Linked DNA regions of Mus musculus: regions 1, 2, 4, 5 and 6 are each reported to be linked to region 3. The links are microRNA targets in miRTarBase. Many come from high-throughput screens and were not tested one by one. Region 3 holds a microRNA gene; each other region holds the end of a gene's coding sequence.

Region 1 (3,200 bases), not on the chromosome of region 3:
CAAAGAAAGTGTGTTGGGATATGGCTTGTCATTTGGGAGGCAGGAGTTCATTGTTGATGTAAGGAAGTGCAGGTGTGCAGGTGTTTTTTTTTTTTTAAATCTATATCTGTATTTATAATTATATATATATATACACACATATAAATATAAAAAATCCTGTCTTTGTTTTGTTCAACTCTGACTCATTTCCCTCGTTATCTTGTAGGAAATAGCTATACACTTTAACTTTTCTCTCCCTCTCTTTTTATAGGTAGTGTCGTATTTTTGGGATTCAGCGGAAACTTCGCACCGTCATGGACGAAGCTGTTCACCAGTCCCGATGAGCAGGGCCTCGGAGTGCTTGAGCAGTTTCTCCCGTTGCAGATGGAGGAATATGGGTGCTCCCGGACCGGCAGTGTCCACAGAAGAGACCTTGACCTGTTACAGCAGGCTTTGAAAGTGCTTTAGAGACTTGGTTGTAATTTAAGTGCTGGGAAAGAAAAAAAAAATGTGAACTAACTTATTTAATTTATGGCATTTTAAGACAACACTGTTAACCCGATGGAACCATTTTCCTGTTTGATAGAAAAGGGAGAGAAGGAATCCAAGCAGTTACCTGAGTGTCAGCTTGCAGGCCTTGGCACTGTGCAGGTGGTAGAGCCCTTTTGTCTTCCTGAGGCTGCTGCGTTCAGAGAGCAGTTGGTCTCGTGGCCCTTGCTTTGACAAGCACATCGGGGGTGCTTTGCTTTTTGTATAGTGGGGTGCAGGGAGTCCAAGGGCTCCTTGAACTTGCTCCTTCGAGGACTGGCTGCTCTAGCATTTCAGATACTTGAAGTCCAATGCTCAGTCCTGCGCTAACTCCAGTCGCTGCCCTGTTCAGTGATGTCTGGGGCTCATTTCTGTACAGCCCACGAGGGTTTTATGTGATGCTAGATATGGTTTTAAGTGGCAACTCAGGCCCAGCACATGTCCTTTTTGCCTGGTCATGTGCTCTTTTTATTCACTTGTATACTGATTACTTTTGAGGGTTCACCTTTCAAAGAGGGAACCTTATTGGGACAAAAGGGCTTTTGAAATTTTTTAGATCTGTAACCATTGAGGAAAAAAAAAGAAAGAAAGAAACAACAACATAAACCTATTACTTGCATCCAGGTGGAACTTTTTCTGCAGCTTTAATCCTTAACCTGTCTTGACCTTTAAAACGCAGAGCGGAACTGAATTAATTTTCTTTAAAAGCAGCAAGCCACTTCCTAAACTGTAAAACTCTTGTCATTTGAACTTGCAAAAGAAAGCCAGGTGTGGTGGTGCACGCCTTTGATCACAGCACTCCAGGAGCAGGTGGATCTCTGAGAGTTTGAGGCTAGCCTGGTCTACGTAGTGATCCAGGACAGCCAGGGCTACGTAGAGAAACCCTGTCTCAAAAGAAACAAAACAAAACAAAACAAAACAAAATCACTCTGTCAACAAAAGCTAACTTGCAAAAGGGAAACCTGTCCTTGGTTTTGGTCTTGTACCTGTGCTTTGTTGTCTTGTTGTGTGGATTTTTTTTTTTTCCAAGCGGCTCTGCTCATTGTCCTACCAGAAAATCCCAGAGAGTTTCCCGCTTGCTCCTCCATAAATATTGTATTCAAGGAAAGAAAGGAGATGCCTTCTTAGGGTGGAATCATGGAGGCAATGGACATGATCTTCTTTGTAGCCTTTAAAAGAGGGAGTCTCTTAGTGAATGTAGCTTTCAAAGACAAGAAGAAAGGACTCTGGGTCTCCCAGTGCTGCTTCTACTGGCCCTTTCTTCAGCCAGTGGGGACACATGTGGCAAAGGATGCTGGCTCTGCAGCCAAGAGGGAAGATGGCATCAGAATGCTGCTGTGCTGCCCAAAGGCGGGTGGCTGAATAGCCAGGCTGACGGTAGCAATTGAGTGCAGAAAAGTTCATCTTCCTCCGTGGAGGGCCGAGGCTGATGCCTGTATGTTGTGTCCAGGAGACATTCTAGGACAGCTCTGTGACTTGTGTAACTTTACAGAACATGCTACCTCAAAGTGCTGTGACAAACCATTTGGACTGTAGTGCTCACAGGATGGGCACGTGTCTTAATCAAAGTTTGGTTACTTGTTTATCCGGGTTTTTTGGATGTGGGGTTTTTTGTTTGTATTTTTTTTTCTTTTTCTTTCATTCTTTTTTTTTTTCTTTTTTTTTTGTACAGTGAGATCTTACCTATTAAATATATTTAGTGGGTCATGGTTCCTGAAGGTGAGTGAATTGATTGTGTGTGCAGATGTGTGTGTGTTATGACTTAAATATATTTGTTTTGTGCTGTTTTAGAGTTCCTTTTTTATATATATTTGGAGAAAGTATGCAAGTTTCAAGGCACTCAGTGTTTCTGATTTTTATGTACTAATAATTAGGGCCTAAGTTAAATAAATAAAAACGTGTGTGCATGTATTTTATGTATGTGTATTTGTGAATCTCTGTAATTGCTGAGGTCTCAGATTCTAGCTTTAAAGAAGTTAGTGGCAGTAGGAAAGGTTGACCATTCACACAGCAGATTTGTAAGGCAGAGTTAAAAGGGAATAAGTTTTACGATGAGGGGGAGACCAGGTTTCATTGCATGTTGGATTCACCTGCAGGGTCTAAAAAACCCAGCGGTCTGAATCCCACTGGCTTCTCTCAGATTAGAGTTCATTGATTTTGGGTGTAGCTGGGACATGTGATATCTTTTTTTTTCATTTTAATTTTTTATTAATTTAAGTTTAAGCTCCTTGGGTGATTCCAACATGCAGCCATGTTGGAAACACTGTACGTACAACCCCACTGTTCAGCTTTCATCTGAAAAAATTGTTGTGATTAAAAAACACCTGCACGTGTCTGTATGTTCTTTTGAGACCTCCCTACATTGATCACAGGATTCTCAGTCTTAAAGTATCTTACTGCCGGTACTTTTTAAAAGGCTTTTTCAAATGTACCTTTCTATCTGCGGTCTTTGCTTTTTAGGCACACAGGCAAATGCCCAGGTTTCACTGCATTCTCTTTGTGCTGAGAAAATGTGTTCCAAGGTAATTTACAACTGGGCGGGGGCGCATTTTCTCTCAGGTGAGGGACTTGGCTGGGTTCCCGAAATATGATGGGTTTCCACTCATCAACTGACTAAAGAGAACTATAGTGGCTTTCAGATGTCAACTGATGCCTGTTTTCTGTCTTTGACGGGAGGTCCTGCCTTTGAGTGG
Region 2 (3,200 bases), not on the chromosome of region 3:
TTCTGTACACGACTTACCCATTGCTCAAGGAGTCTGCTCTCATTCTTCTACAAACTGTCCCTAAGCAAATCGATATCAAACACTTGGTGAAAGAGCTTCGAGACGTTGACGGCGTTGAGGAAGTCCATGAGCTACATGTCTGGCAGCTGGCGGGAAGCAGGATCATCGCCACTGCCCACATAAAATGTGAGGACCCCGCTTCCTACATGCAGGTGGCCAAGACCATTAAAGATGTCTTTCATAATCATGGAATCCACGCTACCACCATCCAGCCTGAATTCGCTAGCGTCGGCTCTAAGTCAAGTGTGCTCCCGTGTGAGCTCGCCTGCAGAACTCAGTGTGCCCTGAAGCAGTGCTGCGGGACACGGCCACAGGTGCATTCTGGGAAGGATGCAGAGAAGGCGCCAACAGTTAGCATTTCTTGTTTAGAACTCAGTGAGAATCTAGAGAAGAAGGCCAGGAGGACTAAAGCTGAAGGCAGTCTCCCTGCTGTGGTGATAGAGATTAAAAACGTGCCAAACAAACAGCCCGAATCATCTTTGTGAGTCTTGAAAAAGATGTGATATTTGACTTTTGCTTTTAAACTGCAAGAGAAAATAGACTCCATTGAAATACTAAGTTTGCCAAGTAGTGTAATTGAAGTCCTTGTCTGGTCGCACAGTTTAATTCTATTTTTGTAAGAACATAATGGAACTGCCTAATAGAGAGTGCTACATTGCAGCCTTGTGATTCTTAGTGCATAGTGCAGCTATGCTGGAACACGTTTGAAAGCCAGTTTTAACACTATGTTACATTTTTGTTTAAAGTAAGTATAAATCTTATATGACATAATGAAATTTGATTCCTGGTTTTCCCATGATAAAAATTAGGGGGATAAATAAAATTGTTACTGGAATTTCTCTGCTTTTCTTCCCCCCCCCCCCCCATTGCTATATCTTATCTGTTAGGATTATAATTGCTAGGCCTTTAAAATCATCAAGTTTGTCTCCTTTGATGTTTGAGGGGATGGTTGCTTGCCCTTTGAGATCATAAACAGACCATAATGGCAGCATATTTCCAGAGTCATGACTCTTAGCAGAAAGTCAGTTTAGTTACTACTTTGTTTTCTCTGCTGCTGAGGAATAGTCTAGTAAACTCTGAGATAATTCACAAGATGAGTTGTAGTTACACATCGTGGAGCATATAGGGGCTAAGAGCAGGGAGGAAGGCAAGCTACAGCTACGTCCGTTACTTCACAGTAATAATGCTGATTATAGCTCTAAAGTATCTTGAAAATCTCTAATGGCTTTATTCTACCAAAGTCAGTCTAAACATGTTTGCCAGTGTTGCTTTCTTTCAAAGACTGGTATTAGCAACATTGAGTTAAATGGTTCTAAATGCATGAGTATTTTTTGAGAATGCAGGCTTGTCTTGGCTCCTTAACTGCAAACTATTAATCTTAAATTATGTCTTAAAGAAACTTCCATAGTGACCCATCAGATGGAATGAATACATTTCTTCATGGGCAGCCAACACAGTGTGTGCTTAGCCAAGAGCCAGTGACTTAAAAATGAAATCACATGGCTCATGCAATTTGGATATTACTTTAGAAAGCAAAACCAGTAAGAGGAAGGCTTGGATCTTTAGCCACCGTGCCTTGGCATGCTGGCTTGCAAAGTGCTTTCTCTGCAGGACTCTGCACTTTGCACCCAGGAAGTCATTCACGGCTGCTCCATTGCCACAGATTTCAAATCCAACGCAGACATTTGAAGATTTTTAAGTTATTTTTTCCAGAAAGGTTAATGCTTTGTGAAGGAAATGTAGATTTTTGTCTTCAAAAGAGTGATTATTAATATCAGTTATGTATAGCTCTATTTTTCTAGGAACAAAGTATTCTGACTACTTCAATAACTTTTATAGCTGACTACTTTTGGGAAAGTTAACTTTTGGGATTTGAAATAATTCATTGCTTAATAATCTGAAAATGGAAGTGTTAGAGTATGACAGTTACTTTAAGGAATGGTCGCTCCCCTAGTGTAATAAGCCTGTTGCTGGCAATGGGCCTACATAAGAACAGCTGGGTTTTCTGATAAGAAATGTAATTTTTGGAACATAGTTTGTAAGCTCACATTTACTACACTGGGCCAACCTTCAACCTACATAATACTTGACTAATATGTGATCTGACCCCTTGGCAGGTGGTTACTTTGACTTTAACAAAACATTTGTTTTTTAAAAAAAACATGAAATTGAGAGCTCTGTGAGTGGTGTGAGCGGGAGCTCCAGTTGTCTCGGATGGTACTGTGCAGAAGGGTTCAGTGTTTCCACAGGGGTACAGGAGGCCATCCAGGAGGTGGCCTTCAGAACCTCTGGGCAGGTTTATGTCATGGGGAGGAGGGCTGTGTCAGTCTGATTTTCAGAAGTGCTTTAAGGTGGTGGTGGCCTGGGTTAAGTGGGTTCTATGTATAAAAGTGGTACCGTAGGCTTTTTTTTTTTTTTTCAAAGGTGTTTGTTACAGCAAAGTCCATGGGCGCCAACTCACCTTGAGGTTTTAGAGAATTATTTATTTCTTTACAATGCACTTTCTAACCCATTTTTTAGCTATATTAGCATTATCTTTAAGAAGAAAAGATGTTTTTATATTTAAATGTTGTGGGATTTGAGTGTCTTTTCCAAAAATAGCATATTTCTTGAAAGAAAATGAGGAGCTACCTTGGCCTCTTGGGGACTATCCCATTGTTTAAATGTGCTTCCTCTCCCAAGTCAGGGCTGCAGGGGGGTTGGGGTGGGGGTTGGGGTAGGGGGAGGCTTCCCTGGTTCCTTCTCACTTGAGCCAGGTCAGTGTGGAGCTGAGTGAGGAAGCATACACTCAAACAGGATCCTTCCAAGCCATGTGCAGCCTTGGAACAATGGACTTGCTTTCCCATGGTCAGCTTTTACCTTGTGGGAGTAATTCTTTTCTGGGGGGTTGGGGGTGGATTATCTACATTGTAGATGGACAAGCCAGAACATGAAAAACAATTCTGGAACATTTTACTGTATTTTCACACCCAAAACAAAATGCTGGGTACCTTTATCCTAAGAGGCATAATTTGAGCAGGGAGGGTTTCCATCAAGTTTACCTTGGAGGGTCTCGGGAGGCTGTTTGTATGTGTGTGTCTTGTCAGCATCTGTTATTTTGAGTTCCTGAAAATTTTGAGGGAAAAGAAAACCTAATGTGA
Region 3 (3,200 bases):
ACTGGGCCAAACCGGACCAGACGTGAAGTAGACCGCGCCTGGAGCACCACCCCGCCCTTGCGCGCTCTGCGCGCGCGTACCGAGAGTCTCCCTCCCCCTGTCTTGAGCTGAGTCTAGGGCCTACTGGCGCATGAGTCCTTGGCGTCCCGCGGCATGGGCATCTCTGCGCACCGGTTCTGTCCTGGCCTCAGAGGAACTTTGTCGCGTTCTCTATCCGCTGGACTAGACGGGTGGGATGCTTGACACAAATGGGGCTTGGCTGTGGGGTTCTTTGCAGGGCCGGTTGCAATGGGCTTGGGGGGAGGCTGTCCTGCCGCTGCTATGTGGGCCAGTTTGGCCCCTGGCACTTCATGAGCTGGCACCGTCACCAGACAAAAGGTCCTAAGCTTTGGGGAGTCCCAGAAGTGGACACATGGGTTTACTTCCTCTCGGGTCTCACGGAATCGCTTCCCTCTTGACGGATTCCGAAGCCTGCCCGGTACAAGTGGCTCCTGCTTGGGACTCACAGGGCTAATCCAGCCCTTCTGATCTAATCCGGATCAGGACCTCGTCCCGGGGGATGCCCCCACCTTCTATTGTTCTGGGGCCCAGGTGAGCGTCTCATTCTCACTAGACTGGTTTAAAACACCTACTCCTTCCTACTCAGCCCACTGGGAAGGGATGGGCGGGTTCCGGTTTGGCCTCAGGGCGAGTGACCTGGGAGCAAGAGCCCTCCTCCAATGGCTGGACAGCGGGCAACGGAATCCCAAAAGCAGCTGTTGTCTCCAGAGCATTCCAGCTGCACTTGGATTTCGTTCCCTGCTCTCCTGCCTGAGCAGCGCCCTGGCCCAGATAATGTGGTCTCTATTCTCAGAAACACTACACTACTGGGCCATTCTGATCTCCATCTCTCAGGTGCACCCCCAGACTGATGGTGGCAGTCAGAGGCGACGAAAAAAGCTCGGGCTGATGGCCCTGTCTGGAATCCCTGGAGAACTCTGACCAGGGAGGTCCTGGGTCCTCTCTCTGAAGGGCCGCAATGGCGGTGAGTCCCACAAGGCCGCCCAGCCCGCAGCTCGCTAAAGATAGATCTTCACTTCCTGGGGAAAACCCACCCCAACCGTCTTCATGGAGGGAGAGTAGCTAAAATCACCAACTTGCTGGTGGGTCCCAGCCCTGCTAGCAGCTGAACCCACACCACAGCATGGAAAGTGCTTTGGAATGACACGATCACTCCCGTTGAGTGGGCACCCAAGAAGCCATCGGGAATGTCGTGTCCGCCCAGTGCTCTTTCGGCACCTCCCAAACAGGGCCTCATAGCCCCGGCCTTCCCGAACTTTTCCTATCTCTAGATGTCACTCCTCTCCGGAGCAAAGTTCACCGGTTGGATTCATTCATTACTGGGGGAAGTGGAGTTTCACGTTACTTGGAAACGAAAGAGTTTGGACATAGAAAAGCTCACCTGCAGCTTGCTCTACCTGAGAGCTCTGCTTATTTGGGTCTTCTCATCATCACATTTGTCTTAAACTGACCAGTTGCCTAAAGAACCAAAGGTGCCGGTAACACCAGTTTAAAGGAAAAACATTAAAGGCTGGTAATCCTGGAATCATGATGACTAATTCCTCGGGTATCAAGATGGGCAATTCTATCCGATTGGGCTTTTACTGGGAATAAAGACATTCCATACCGCAGCCGAGGAAAGGCGTACCAATAATCAGAACTCAAATTTTGCTTTGTTTCGTTACTTTTCCAAGTAGGCGGTAAAGAGTCTTTAATGGAAGACACGAGTGGTGGCACACACCTTTAATCCCAGTACTCAGGAGGCAGAGGCAGGTGGATTTCTGAGTTCAAGGACTTTCTGGTCTACAAAGAGTTCCAGGACAGCCATGGCTACACAGTGAAACCCTGTCTTGAAAAACAAAGTGTCATTAATGGTACAGCCTTATTCCTTTGACATTTCGTCTCGTGCGTCTGGCCTTTAATTTGTTTAAATGGGGCAGAAAAAGAAAAAAGAGACATAAACACAAAGATGTGAAACTTTGGTGGCAAAGTGTCTTGCCTGGTAACAAAGATCCGTTATCAAAGTAATAATTCGGGGTGACGATTTTTTTAAAAAGGAGGAAAAATGGACCCTCAAATTTGGAGGTTAGGGCTCATGAATACAGGAAAGGCCATCGGGAGGGAGAGCTGGAGGCGTGGGTAGAATGTAAGCTCACTTGGCATGCTCGATCGCTCTGGTCCATTCAGGAGAGTCCACGGCCGGATCCCCGCCCCCGCCAGGCGGACCTCCCGGAAGCTCTACGGATAACTTACTTCCTGTTCCATTTAGTCTTCCGGTCGCCATGGCGACCGGGCGCCTTGGGGTTGGCGAGACGCTGGAGGCCCTTAATGCAGCTGTAGGGCCTGGTAGCCCAGTGTGGTTTAAGGAAACCCATGCCCGGCACCTTCGTGTTCGAGACTTCTTGGCACCGCGAAGCGCGCTACAGGCGCGCTTCAGGGACGGCCAGGTGGGTGCGCTCCTGTGGGGCATGCCTAGCGGGATCCACGGAACTACGGCCCACTTACACACATCTGCCTGCAGGTGCCAGAGTGCGTGTTCCGTGCGGTCTCCTGCCTGCAGGGTCCCGGAGTGGCCCCTGTACTGCGCTGCGCGCCGACACCCGCGGGTTTATCGCTCCAACTACAGCGGCCCGCTGTCTTCGAACATGTACTCGGTGCCCTGGCCTCCTATGCTACTCCCGCCAAACCTGCCTCACCAGGCCCGCGAGTTGTCCTACACTGCCCAGCACTGCGCTGTAATTCGGGGACGCTCCGATTGAGCCAGCTGCGTGCCGTGCTCGTAGCCGATCATCTAGTACGGGTACTGCGTGCTCATGGGTAAGTGCGTGTTCGAAGCTATAATGGCAAAAGACCGAACATTTGGGGATAGAAAAGGTGGGAGTCATGATAATCTAAGCCTGGTCCGCAGGCTGAGACAGCCTCCCTTGCTTTGCAGGGTACGTGTGTGCTCAGTGCCCCCGGTGCGGGACCCTCACATGTCAACTTTCCTCCAGAAACTTCGGGTGGAATGGCCCACTGCCTCGAAGAGCACCTCGACCGAAACACTGAGAACCTGTGTTCTTGCAAACCTTAATGGTTCTAAGGAAGCGACGCTGCCCCCTGGCGTCCTAGGCCGACTGTGTCTGAAGGAACTGGTAGAACAGAGAGGCACTGCTGGCTAT
Region 4 (3,200 bases), not on the chromosome of region 3:
GTGTCTCTAATACATCTGTGATATCCTGCACATCCACCTGATCAAATTATAACAATTCCGCTTCATTTGGTTTGTATATTTCATTTCCCTAGAGGTAAATTCATAAAACCAGCATATCTCATAAACTTTCACACTAGCTTTACCAATAGTTATATCTTTTCCCTCGACTGTAAATAGTACTAACCTTATATACTTAAGCCACGTGCTTATGTCTCAAAGAAAACATCTTTGGAACTCTTTGCCTCTGGAAAGATGCAAAAACATTTTTGCCAATAGCAAAGAATAGTGAACATACAAATTGTGGTGAATGTGAGGACTGAAGAGAGCTGAAGGTAACTATCACCCCCAGTAAAGGGCGTGTGGACCACTTTGGCAAAATGGGCACATAGCAACTGCATGTAGTCCAGTAGGCTGGCATCTGTAGGCTTTGGCTCAAGCCTGCTGTAGACATGTAGGCTGCCCACAGGAAGCCTCTCCCCCGCCTTGATTGTACTTCTGTTGTACTTCTTTCTCCCTTTCTCCCATTCTTCTTTCACTCGTGTAAGAGAGAGCCCCAGAACTGTAGAGTATGCATTTTCATGAATTGAATCTTGTGTAAACAGCACAGAAGTAATACTTGCCATTTGTCTTCTAGACAATGTTATTTTTACTACGAGACAATTGAGAGACTGAACTCCAATTCAAATGTTAATTCCACTGAGCATCTAACTGAAAAGCATTAGCTAAGATCAGATCTGTGCACAGCAAAAAGAATCTGCTCGATTGACTGGGAAGCTCATACCACAATCTGAAACCTTTTCCTTCCTTATTTCCCACAGCCTCTAAGAGTTATGTTTCTTATGGTCAATCCTTTGTATTGTGCAGAGGTGACCCCTCTGGTGGGGCTGCAGGGGTTGGTAAATCCATCTAGCACAGATATGTTAGTGGATTCGGCTCAGCTGCTCACCAGTTTTGAAAGCCAGCCTCCCAATTCTCTGTGTGTTCTCTTAGGTCTTTGTGCACACACTATCTTCATGGGGCTCTATTGGCCTGGTCCATGCGTTGAAAGCTCTGGGCTTGGCCTGTGACTCTCTCCTTACCAGCTCTGGCTCTCCAGCACTTCTGTGACTAGTTCCAAAAAACAACCCACGAACAATAAAGCCGCATTCACACTGAGATGCTGCCCTCCTCTTCAGAAAGCTTTTGTCATAAAGAAGAAACCAATCTTGGGGGATTTCAATTCTGGCAGAAGTTGACTTTCAAAAGCAAAGAGGAGAAGGAAGATACAGATCCTGATTAATAGCTTAGTGGATTTTGTTTTGTTTTAAACAAACTCAAGTGAAATTTCGAAATAATGCTTCCAGTTTGCCCATATGTACTACGTGCTGAAAGTAGCTCCAGACACTGGCCTCTGGGCTTCCTAATGACTACTGCCATCTTTTATAAATGTACATTTGTTTGTGAGCATCCGCATCTCTTCCTTAAAACCCAGTCTAAAATGGAGATGCCATCTTTCATTCAAGAACTGGATTTTCTCTTTAAGATTCCTATTTCTTTCTCAAAGTAAGACCTATAAAAATTGACTCCCAAATATATTTCCAATTCAATCTTAAGTAGAGTTGGATGTAATTAAGAGATTTATTATGAAACATTTGGCAAAAAAAATGCTGTCTATAGGTAGTGTTTATTAGATTGCTATAGGAGTAGTTAGTAGGGACTTTTCAAAGACTACGTTTAAATGTCAATACCTATTTTGTGGTTGTAGCTACTATGGTACTATTTACCAAAAAGCTATAGTTGAGTTAACTAAAGAGTGTCATAAGTAAATTGTGTAAAATAAGGCCATCTTCCCATTGTAAAAGACAGCCCTGATTTTAGGGTTTGCTACTTCAGAGAGTCAACATAGAAATAACACACACTGTCCACATAGCTACTGTGAAATCTGTAATACAGAATGATTCTTTATTTTGACACATTTCAACTGTGAATATAACTTGGTAACTAATAAGAGATGTTCACATGAAGTAACTCTGAAGCCCTCTTAACTTCTTAGTGGTCCCTCAACCATTACAAATGGAACTGATGCCAACAGATCTATAGGGCTCCCAGTCACCTGCTGTCCTGCAAAAGGAGACAACGCCCATCCACTCCATTAAAACAGAAGGCATGTAGTATTGAACAGTGCCTAAAAAATAGAGGGGACTGAGAAAAGTACACTGTTGCCTGCTAAGAAATTGTAGTTGCTTTAGAATAATAGTAAAACTGAGATTCACTGTCATAACAAAGACCTTCACTGCACGGAACTAAAAAATAGCATGTATGTGGTCATGGAATGTCACATCAGGGTTTCTGTAGTATTAGATTATAGGCAGTTAACACTGATCATATAGTGCAAACTAGGTAAAGTTGCGTTTCACTGTGTGAAATGAAGAACAGGCGCAAATGCTCAGTAGGATACCATTAAGACAGAAAATGGCAAAAAATAAATATCAAAACTTTTATCAGTGTAAAAAAGTAACTGGGTTATTGTATAACCTAGAGTCTGGCAAAAAAGGCCTCAAAAAATTTCTGTCTTTACAAGTCTCAGAAGTTTACAAATGAAGTGCCCTTCCAGGGGACTAGTCACACCAGAGACTCCATGCTCTCTGCAGGGTCTGATTCCTCTGCAGTTAGCACAGCACCGTTTTTGTCCCCGGTCATGGGACCATTTCCATTTTCTTTAGTACTGATCAAGCTGAGCATTGCTTTGTAGACAAACTGGTATTGTTCCTGGAAGACAAGAGGAAAGAGTTGGTTAGACATTGATTGAATCTAAGATGGAAAGACTACTCAAAAATATACTTCTAAAAAAAACACTCCCCAAAAGACAAGAAGAGCAGAAATTGTATCTAAGAAACTTTAAAAGCAACCACTTGAAGCCTTAATCACTGAGTTCTACAGCATTTCATGTCCTGCTGGTCTGTTAGCATGGAATCTGTTGCAGTGTTGGTGACTCCCTAAGATAACGGAATATCCTTATTTTGAAACTAGACCACACACTACTATTAAGCAGAGGGTTTTTTTTTTACCTTTTAAGTACAACATTACTGATATTCTGGGCTAGATAATTCTGTGTTGGCAAGGGTTGCCTGTGTATTGTAGGGTGTTTTCCAGTAGCTTTGGCCTTTACACACTAAATGCCAGAGATGTCCAGTTGTGAAACCCAGCAAGTCTCCAGATAC
Region 5 (3,200 bases), not on the chromosome of region 3:
AGAATCTGGCTTTTGTTGTAAAGTACATTTAAGAAGTCTTAAAGTTCCATCATGTCAATCGGCATGCTGATGGTTAACTAATAAGCACTTAGGCTGTTAACTAGCCTGAGCACTAACGACAGATGTCACCACATTTGACCACGATGCAGTGACACTGCTGAGCATCTAAGAAATTTGGATAACCACCTATAGTCAGCTTTCTAAGTAAAATGTATTTTCAGGTGGCTGCCTCCAGGACTGCATCCATGGAAGATCTGGAGCCATCCCAGTGACTATCTAATAGTAAAACGTTCCAGTAAAATGGAAATCAAATGAGGGATGGGATCACAGGTCAGTCTTAATTTCATTTAAGAACAAAGAATAACGGCTGAAGTGCACCAGCATGTGGTTAATTGTCTGTGTATAAGCAGCCAAAAGGGAAATGACCAAAGTCCTTTCTTGGGATCAAAGCCAGTGTCTCGATGTGCTCCTGGAGTCCTGTACCTTATTTCAGTTGCTTTAAAAAAAAAAAAAAACAAAAACAAAAACAAAAAAACCCAACACAAAACAAGACAAAAAACCAAACAGGCCAGAGCTCTCACACAAAAGTCCACCATTAATATGACTCATTCCTTTAAGAGAACCTTAAAAAGCACCTCTTTATCTCCACCTCACTCCAGAAAGTGAGTCAGGTGCAATCCTCAGAGTAGCTCTGTTGATTTTCAGCTGGATGGATAGAACACTCACTGGCAGCACTAAGCAAACAGCTCAGATGCCGCCAGAGATTAGGATTGGTCTAAGAAATAAAGTCAAGCAAGAACCAGTGATTGTTTGTAGGATTCTAGTCTGACTTGGAACAGAGGTCACAGGTACCAACCTGATGAGACCTGCTGCTATTGTGTCTCACCGACTTTTGCTGCTGGTCACCAGTGAACAACTGGTGCAAGGTGATTTTAGTTGTTTCTTGAGGGGAAATCTCAACCATAGGCGGGGTGTCCATGTCAACAGTCTTCAAGTTTGTCTTTAGCTTATGTTTCTAGGGTTCTGTAGGGCTGTCCACACTATCTCAATGCTTCCTTAAATAAAGCTGTCTGTTCAAGATCCCAATACCTGCATAGCTTGATACTTGGGGTCTCCTGTATGTGTTATGTCTCCATCAAGAGCTTCTGGGAAGCCACCTGCAGAGATGACAGGAAAGGCTAAAGTCCCCTAACCTCACTTCCTCACTTTAGTCTTTCATGAGAAACAGAAAAGACACTGTGTGTTATTAAATACAGTGACACAACCAACCACACTGGTGTGGTGGTGAACTTCTCAGAGCTACAGGACATCTTAAGTTACTGCTGGCTAATGATGACAGATGCTTCTACAAGTTTCTGGTTAAATGTGAGAGGAAAAATGCTCCCTTAAACTTTCCCTTTCTCTGAGAAATAAAACAAATAAAAAAAAAAACTTTAAAAAAAATCAAACAAAAGAACAACAACAAAAACCCTTCACATCTTTTGAACAGGATTGGCTAAGTGATGAACAACTCAGCAAGTGCTCAAAATGCCACCATTTAGCAGCTCACTGAAAAGAACTCTGGCCAAGAACAAGAGCTTTGCTGTGGAATGATGTCACACAAACAGAAACTTCATAGTTAGTGTTCATAGTTTTCTTCTGTACGTGGATGACAAGAATCCTTTCTGATACTCTGTGGTATTTACTTACTGACCCATATTTGCAGTCTCTGCAGGTAGCTGACCAACCTTTGTTTATACTTAGGACAAAATAACATTGAGTCCAGAATACATTATAGCATGTCCTGTAGGTCTGAAGGTACCATAGTTCAGGTACTCACATGATTTACAGACCCTACCACAAATATGACAGTGATGTTAGAAGTCCGTCCTAAGGAGTGCCTTGTGTGTGTTTAGTACTACATCCAGTGCTGTGCTGTCTGGAACATAACTATATTTCTTGACAACTGAAGCATCTTTTTGGGGGAGTGGTGATTGATAAAAGCTTCCAACACTGAAGGATGAAAAGATGGTATACAATCAAGTGCTAATTTGTGGAGAGTGCATTTAGGCGTTCTAGAGTGCTTTAGGGATGTTGAAGAGGAAGAGAAGCATCTTGAATTGTTGCTATTTCAGTAGGACTGATCTCACTGATGGGGGCAGGCCCATCCACATTTGTTACAGTCCTTGGAACTATAAACTGGTGCATATGCCCTCTTTCAGAAAGAGATAGAAATCTTTGGTTTGATTCTGACCAACACAGTCCTAGATTTCTATAGCTTTGGCAGGCTACCAGTGATCAGATATAGAACCTTCTGGATTTACAACTTGCTCAAGCAGCATGTCCCAATGTAGTTTTTGTATTAACTATCTCTCTTCATTGTGAAATACAAGTTGTCTAATTAGGGTTTGTTTGCAGCAAGTGGCTTAACCAGTATAATATTCACAGAGCTGATCTTGACTCATCAACTATATGGTGTGGTTGCTGGGAAGCAAACCTTAAAGGTATACCCATGACTAGAAAGCTTGACAGTTTACTGTGCATGCTTTTATCTTGAGTGCAGGAATATCCACACGGCCAGCTTTCCCTTACACGGACTTTAAGAATTGCATGTCTACAGACTTCCTGAAGGGAGGACATGGTTGATGTAACTGTTAGAGACCCTGAAGTGTGACTTCCCAAACAATTCGATGGTGCTATTACTTTTCCCTCGATGGGTACATAGGTAATTCCAGAAACAAAAGGGGGGAAATGGCTTGACGAGACACTCCTGCTTTACACACAACTTTTCAGGAATGCCCCAAAGGCATCCAGAGAGGCTGGGCTGTATTCTGACGTTCTCTCTCTGGCATGGATTCTGTGGTGCAGTGTGAGGGTCGAGCTCCGGGTGAAGGCCTTGCCACACTTAGTGCACTTGTAGGGCTTTTCTCGGGTGTGAATTCTCCGATGCAAAATAAGGTATGAGTTTCGGTTGAAAGCTTTTCCACATTCGCTACATTCATAGGGCTTCTCTCCTGTATGGATTCTCTGGTGCTTCGTGAGGTCTGAGCTCTGGCTGAAGGCTTTGCCACACTCGTTACATTCATAGGGCTTCTCTCCAGAGTGGATGCGCTGGTGCAGGATGAGATTTGAGCTATGGCTGAAGGCTTTGCCACACTCGTTACATTCATGAGGTTTCTCTCCCGTGTGGATTCGCTGATGAAGGACAAGGTTTGAATTGA
Region 6 (3,200 bases), not on the chromosome of region 3:
TACCCTGTCTGTAAGCAAGAATACAGGGGTTGGCTGGGGGGATCACTCCATTTAGAAAAGATCCATAAAAGGGCCAGAAAGGGTGGCAGATGCCTGGGATGTTCTAGAGGTGGGTGGGAAGGACCCTCCGTAATCCACTCCTGATCTGCTCCTCTTTCTTCCACAGAGAATCAAATACCTGATAACCCCCAGGGAGCCCAACCGCTGGGCTGTGGAGCGTGAAGGGGCCACACCCTTTCACTCCCGAGTAACCCTCATGAACGGCGCACTCATGAAACCCAGTCACGTCATTGTGGAGACCATGATGTGAGGTCCGGGCCATGTGACAGGCGCCGCTTTCCTGCTGTTTACTAACGTTAGATTCTCATAGGACCAGGTTTACAGAGCTTTATATTTGTACTAGGATTTTTTTTTTTAATTGTCACAGAAAATGTTACTCTATGTGTGTGTGTATGTGTATCGTGTATGTCTGTATATGTGTGTTTTGTTTTGTTTGGGGGATATTTTGTACAAAAAGAAAACCCATAGGCCTACGTCCTGGGGAAGAGGATGGACTTTCATATTGATTTCCATGTATTTTGTGGGAACTTGGTAAATTTTTCTTTGTATTTTTTTTAACATATAACTATATATACTTAGAGTCTGTCATACACTTTGCCACTTGAATTGGTCTTGCCAGCAATGGATCTCGTTTTTCAAAAGCAATTCTTCGGTGCTTATATAGCTGGCAGAAAGTTCTGCCCAAAAACAAATGAAAAAAGAGAAAAAAAAAAAAAACCTGAATGCTGGGTGGAATTTTCCTATGATAGTGGATACATCTTCAAGAACGGTGTAGTCCCTTCTGAGCTGGTTCAGGAGGAAGAACACAGCTGAGGAGAGGGAGCCCCCCCCCCCCACTAGCTGAACAGACCTGAGGGGCAGGAGAGAGCAGGGCTATGGACCCTCAGCCAACAAGAAAGATGCCAAAATACTGGCCCACCCTCAGCATGAATGATAGATCTCAGAGCAGCTGAAGCGGTTGTACCAGGGCCAAACGCCTGCCCTCTTACTTGGAAGAAGACATGGGTGGTAGTCAGTGGGACTGGCTGAACCACCATGGGTATTACAGGCAGGGATGGGACGTCTGAATGTCTGGTGAGGATGTGGCTCAGGTCTGGGAGCCTGCCTCTGCAGGCGTAGGCCGAATCCCTGTCCTTTCTTGAACACTCAGTATGGCTGCCCGAAGCCAGGCCACAGGAGCTGCTGGGGCTTCAGAGTGGGGGTCACACTCAGGAAGTGTCTGCGGTATTTGAGTGGAGTCATGGTGGGTGGTGACCAGAGTATTCCCCAAGCAGAATGTATTTTGGTGAGGGCCCGGGGTGAGGGAGGCCAGTGGACCAAATGATATTAGCAGCTCAGGAGGGTGAGTGTACCCCAGGCTGGCAAGTGTACCCCAGGAGGGCACTATTCTTCCTTGCCTCTTGACAAACTCTTGTGAAAGTTACCACCCCAGAACCATCCAGCAGCTCCCAGCAAGGAGTGCTCCAAGTGGCTGTAGACCCTGGATCTTAAAGGATCTGAGTTCCAGTACAGAGCCAGCTTGGTAGTGACCTCAGATGATTTCCAAGCCACTGCATTGGCTGTTGGACAGGCGTTTGCCCCCAGGGGACGGCAGAGGGAAGGCGAAGGGAAGTTTCGGTCAGTTGAAGCTATCTCCACAGAAGTGAGGTCAGTACTCCAGAGCTGCCCAATGTCAGCTTCTGAACCAGGAGAGGGCACTACACCTTCACCCCAGCCTCCACTGGGCCCAACTGTGCCATCCTGAACTTCTTTGACAAATGTACACATTTTTTCCTGTCTCCAAAGCAATGTACTCTGCCAAGTGACCCTCTAATCCTCTTCCAGTGGCTGTTGACTCAGCCACCCATGATTGTACTGTGTTCCTGTTGTCCTGTGTATTTCTGGTTGCTCTCGTGTTATTTTGAGTGTTTGGAGTTCTCCTTCCCCGATTTTACCGACTTGTAATGTACCCTGGTTTTCTTTCGTTCAACGGAACCTTAAAAGTAACCACTGTGGGTGACTGAAAGACAGGTGAAGTGTAAGGGAGAGGGGGGCTCGTCCAGCTGTGGCAGTGTCTGTGGTCATGCCCGTCTACCCTACCCCTAACCCCCACCGGGCACGCCCCTCTGGCGAGCCTTCAGTATTTTGGGTTGGCAGACAAATGGCACCATTCTGGAAATGGCCTGAGAAAGGCTTTTTTTAATCATTCCCAGATCGAATTCTAGACCAAAGACACAGCGGGCCAAGTCCCCAGGCCCTGCCTGGATTTGGAAGGCCAGCCGCCTCCCGAGCCCACTCCCCAGCAGTGTCCCCTCACCTGTCTTCAGTGGCCCCCACTCTCACCCCGCCCCTGCCCCTGATGACCCTTATTGTGATGCTTGTCTTTTCACGTCTGCATGTAAGTAACATTTTGAAGTAGAGCTCGTGACTCTGGTCCGCCTGCCTCCTGGAGAGAGGGCTAAGCTGTTCACCAACCAGCCCTTGCCTGGAACAGGCCAGATCCTGTCCTGCCTGTCAGATGGAGACAGGAAGCAAGGGACATTGCCTGGTTTAGATGAGGACATTAGGTGGGCCCAGGAGACCCTGGGAGATGTTATTTGGTCCTAAGAGTGATGTGACCTCCCAAATGGAGGGTCCCTGCTGGGCACTGTGGGCAGCCCCAGAGGGCCCTGATCCAAGGCACTTATGTAATCAGGAGAATAGGCCTAGTGTGGGGACTTACACTGTGAGCTAAGTGGAACTGGACATTTGAGTCATTTGTAGCTTCAGGTTCTCCAAGACTTAGTAGAGGGAAGGCAGGTCCAGGGCATTGTCTAAGTAAACTGTCAAGCCTTCCCTGTCAACCAAAGGCCAGAGCTGATGAGGGCCCTTGCTCCATATTCATGGAACACAGAGCAATACCCACGTGTGCCAGTCCTTACCGCCCTGCTCACCCCGGCCCCGTGCCACCCTTCCTTCCTTCCTTTCTCCTCCAAAGCCTTTGGGAACTAGGAATTGATACACCCTCCCCTCAAGTTGTACCACAGGAAACTGAGGGCCAAAGACATCACTAGTGTGAAGAGCCTTAGCTAGGGTGTATGGGCAGGCCTTTGACCTCCATGTAGCCCAAGGCTATGCAGGAAGTAGCCTGAGAGGGTTTCTTTTCCCTCTCTGCCTCTGGC

The links. The annotated mature microRNA mmu-miR-425-5p reads AAUGACACGAUCACUCCCGUUGA and lies in region 3 at 1,200-1,222, shown strand. An mRNA with a match to its seed (bases 2 to 7 or 8) in the 3' UTR can be bound and repressed. Matches are read on the target gene's strand: a 7mer-m8 pairs with bases 2 to 8, a 7mer-A1 pairs with bases 2 to 7 and ends in A, and an 8mer does both.
Region 1: the mRNA of Cemip2 is a reported target of mmu-miR-425-5p. The part of its 3' UTR that is shown has no 7-base or 8-base seed match.
Region 2: miRTarBase lists Slc30a1 as a target of mmu-miR-425-5p. The part of its 3' UTR that is shown has no 7-base or 8-base seed match.
Region 4: the mRNA of Ptprg is a reported target of mmu-miR-425-5p. The part of its 3' UTR that is shown has no 7-base or 8-base seed match.
Region 5: miRTarBase lists Zkscan1 as a target of mmu-miR-425-5p. Seed matches in the 3' UTR shown: 7mer-A1 at 1,844-1,850.
Region 6: miRTarBase lists Slc6a6 as a target of mmu-miR-425-5p. Seed matches in the 3' UTR shown: 7mer-A1 at 644-650.

Annotation. Positions count from the first base shown.
Region 1 is chr19:21,855,905-21,859,104 of GRCm38, forward strand. It overlaps Cemip2 (cell migration inducing hyaluronidase 2), which reads left to right. Exons shown (of 24, transcript NM_001033759.2): 24 at 251-2,456. The coding sequence ends at 447. Among named protein-coding and RNA genes, the nearest start is that of Cemip2, 79 kb to the left of the region's middle.
Region 2 is chr1:191,909,211-191,912,410 of GRCm38, forward strand. Slc30a1 (solute carrier family 30 (zinc transporter), member 1) reads left to right here. Exons shown (of 2, transcript NM_009579.3): 2 at 1-3,200. The coding sequence ends at 545. Among named protein-coding and RNA genes, the nearest start is that of 1700034H15Rik, 3.3 kb to the left of the region's middle.
Region 3 is chr9:108,567,590-108,570,789 of GRCm38, forward strand. It overlaps Mir425 (microRNA 425), which reads left to right and starts at 1,188; the gene lies at 1,188-1,272. Dalrd3 (DALR anticodon binding domain containing 3) reads left to right here and starts at 2,303. Exons shown (of 12, transcript NM_026378.3): 1 at 2,303-2,486; 2 at 2,561-2,856; 3 at 2,975-3,200. The coding sequence starts at 2,322. Mir191 (microRNA 191) reads left to right here and starts at 730; the gene lies at 730-803.
Region 4 is chr14:12,237,275-12,240,474 of GRCm38, reverse strand. Ptprg (protein tyrosine phosphatase, receptor type, G) reads right to left here. Exons shown (of 30, transcript NM_008981.3): 30 at 1-2,748. The coding sequence ends at 2,602. Among named protein-coding and RNA genes, the nearest start is that of 3830406C13Rik, 45 kb to the left of the region's middle.
Region 5 is chr5:138,101,037-138,104,236 of GRCm38, reverse strand. It overlaps Zkscan1 (zinc finger with KRAB and SCAN domains 1), which reads right to left. Exons shown (of 6, transcript NM_133906.4): 6 at 1-3,200. The coding sequence ends at 2,755. Among named protein-coding and RNA genes, the nearest start is that of Zscan21, 14 kb to the left of the region's middle.
Region 6 is chr6:91,754,748-91,757,947 of GRCm38, forward strand. Slc6a6 (solute carrier family 6 (neurotransmitter transporter, taurine), member 6) reads left to right here. Exons shown (of 15, transcript NM_009320.4): 15 at 167-3,200. The coding sequence ends at 310. Among named protein-coding and RNA genes, the nearest start is that of Gm44981, 34 kb to the left of the region's middle.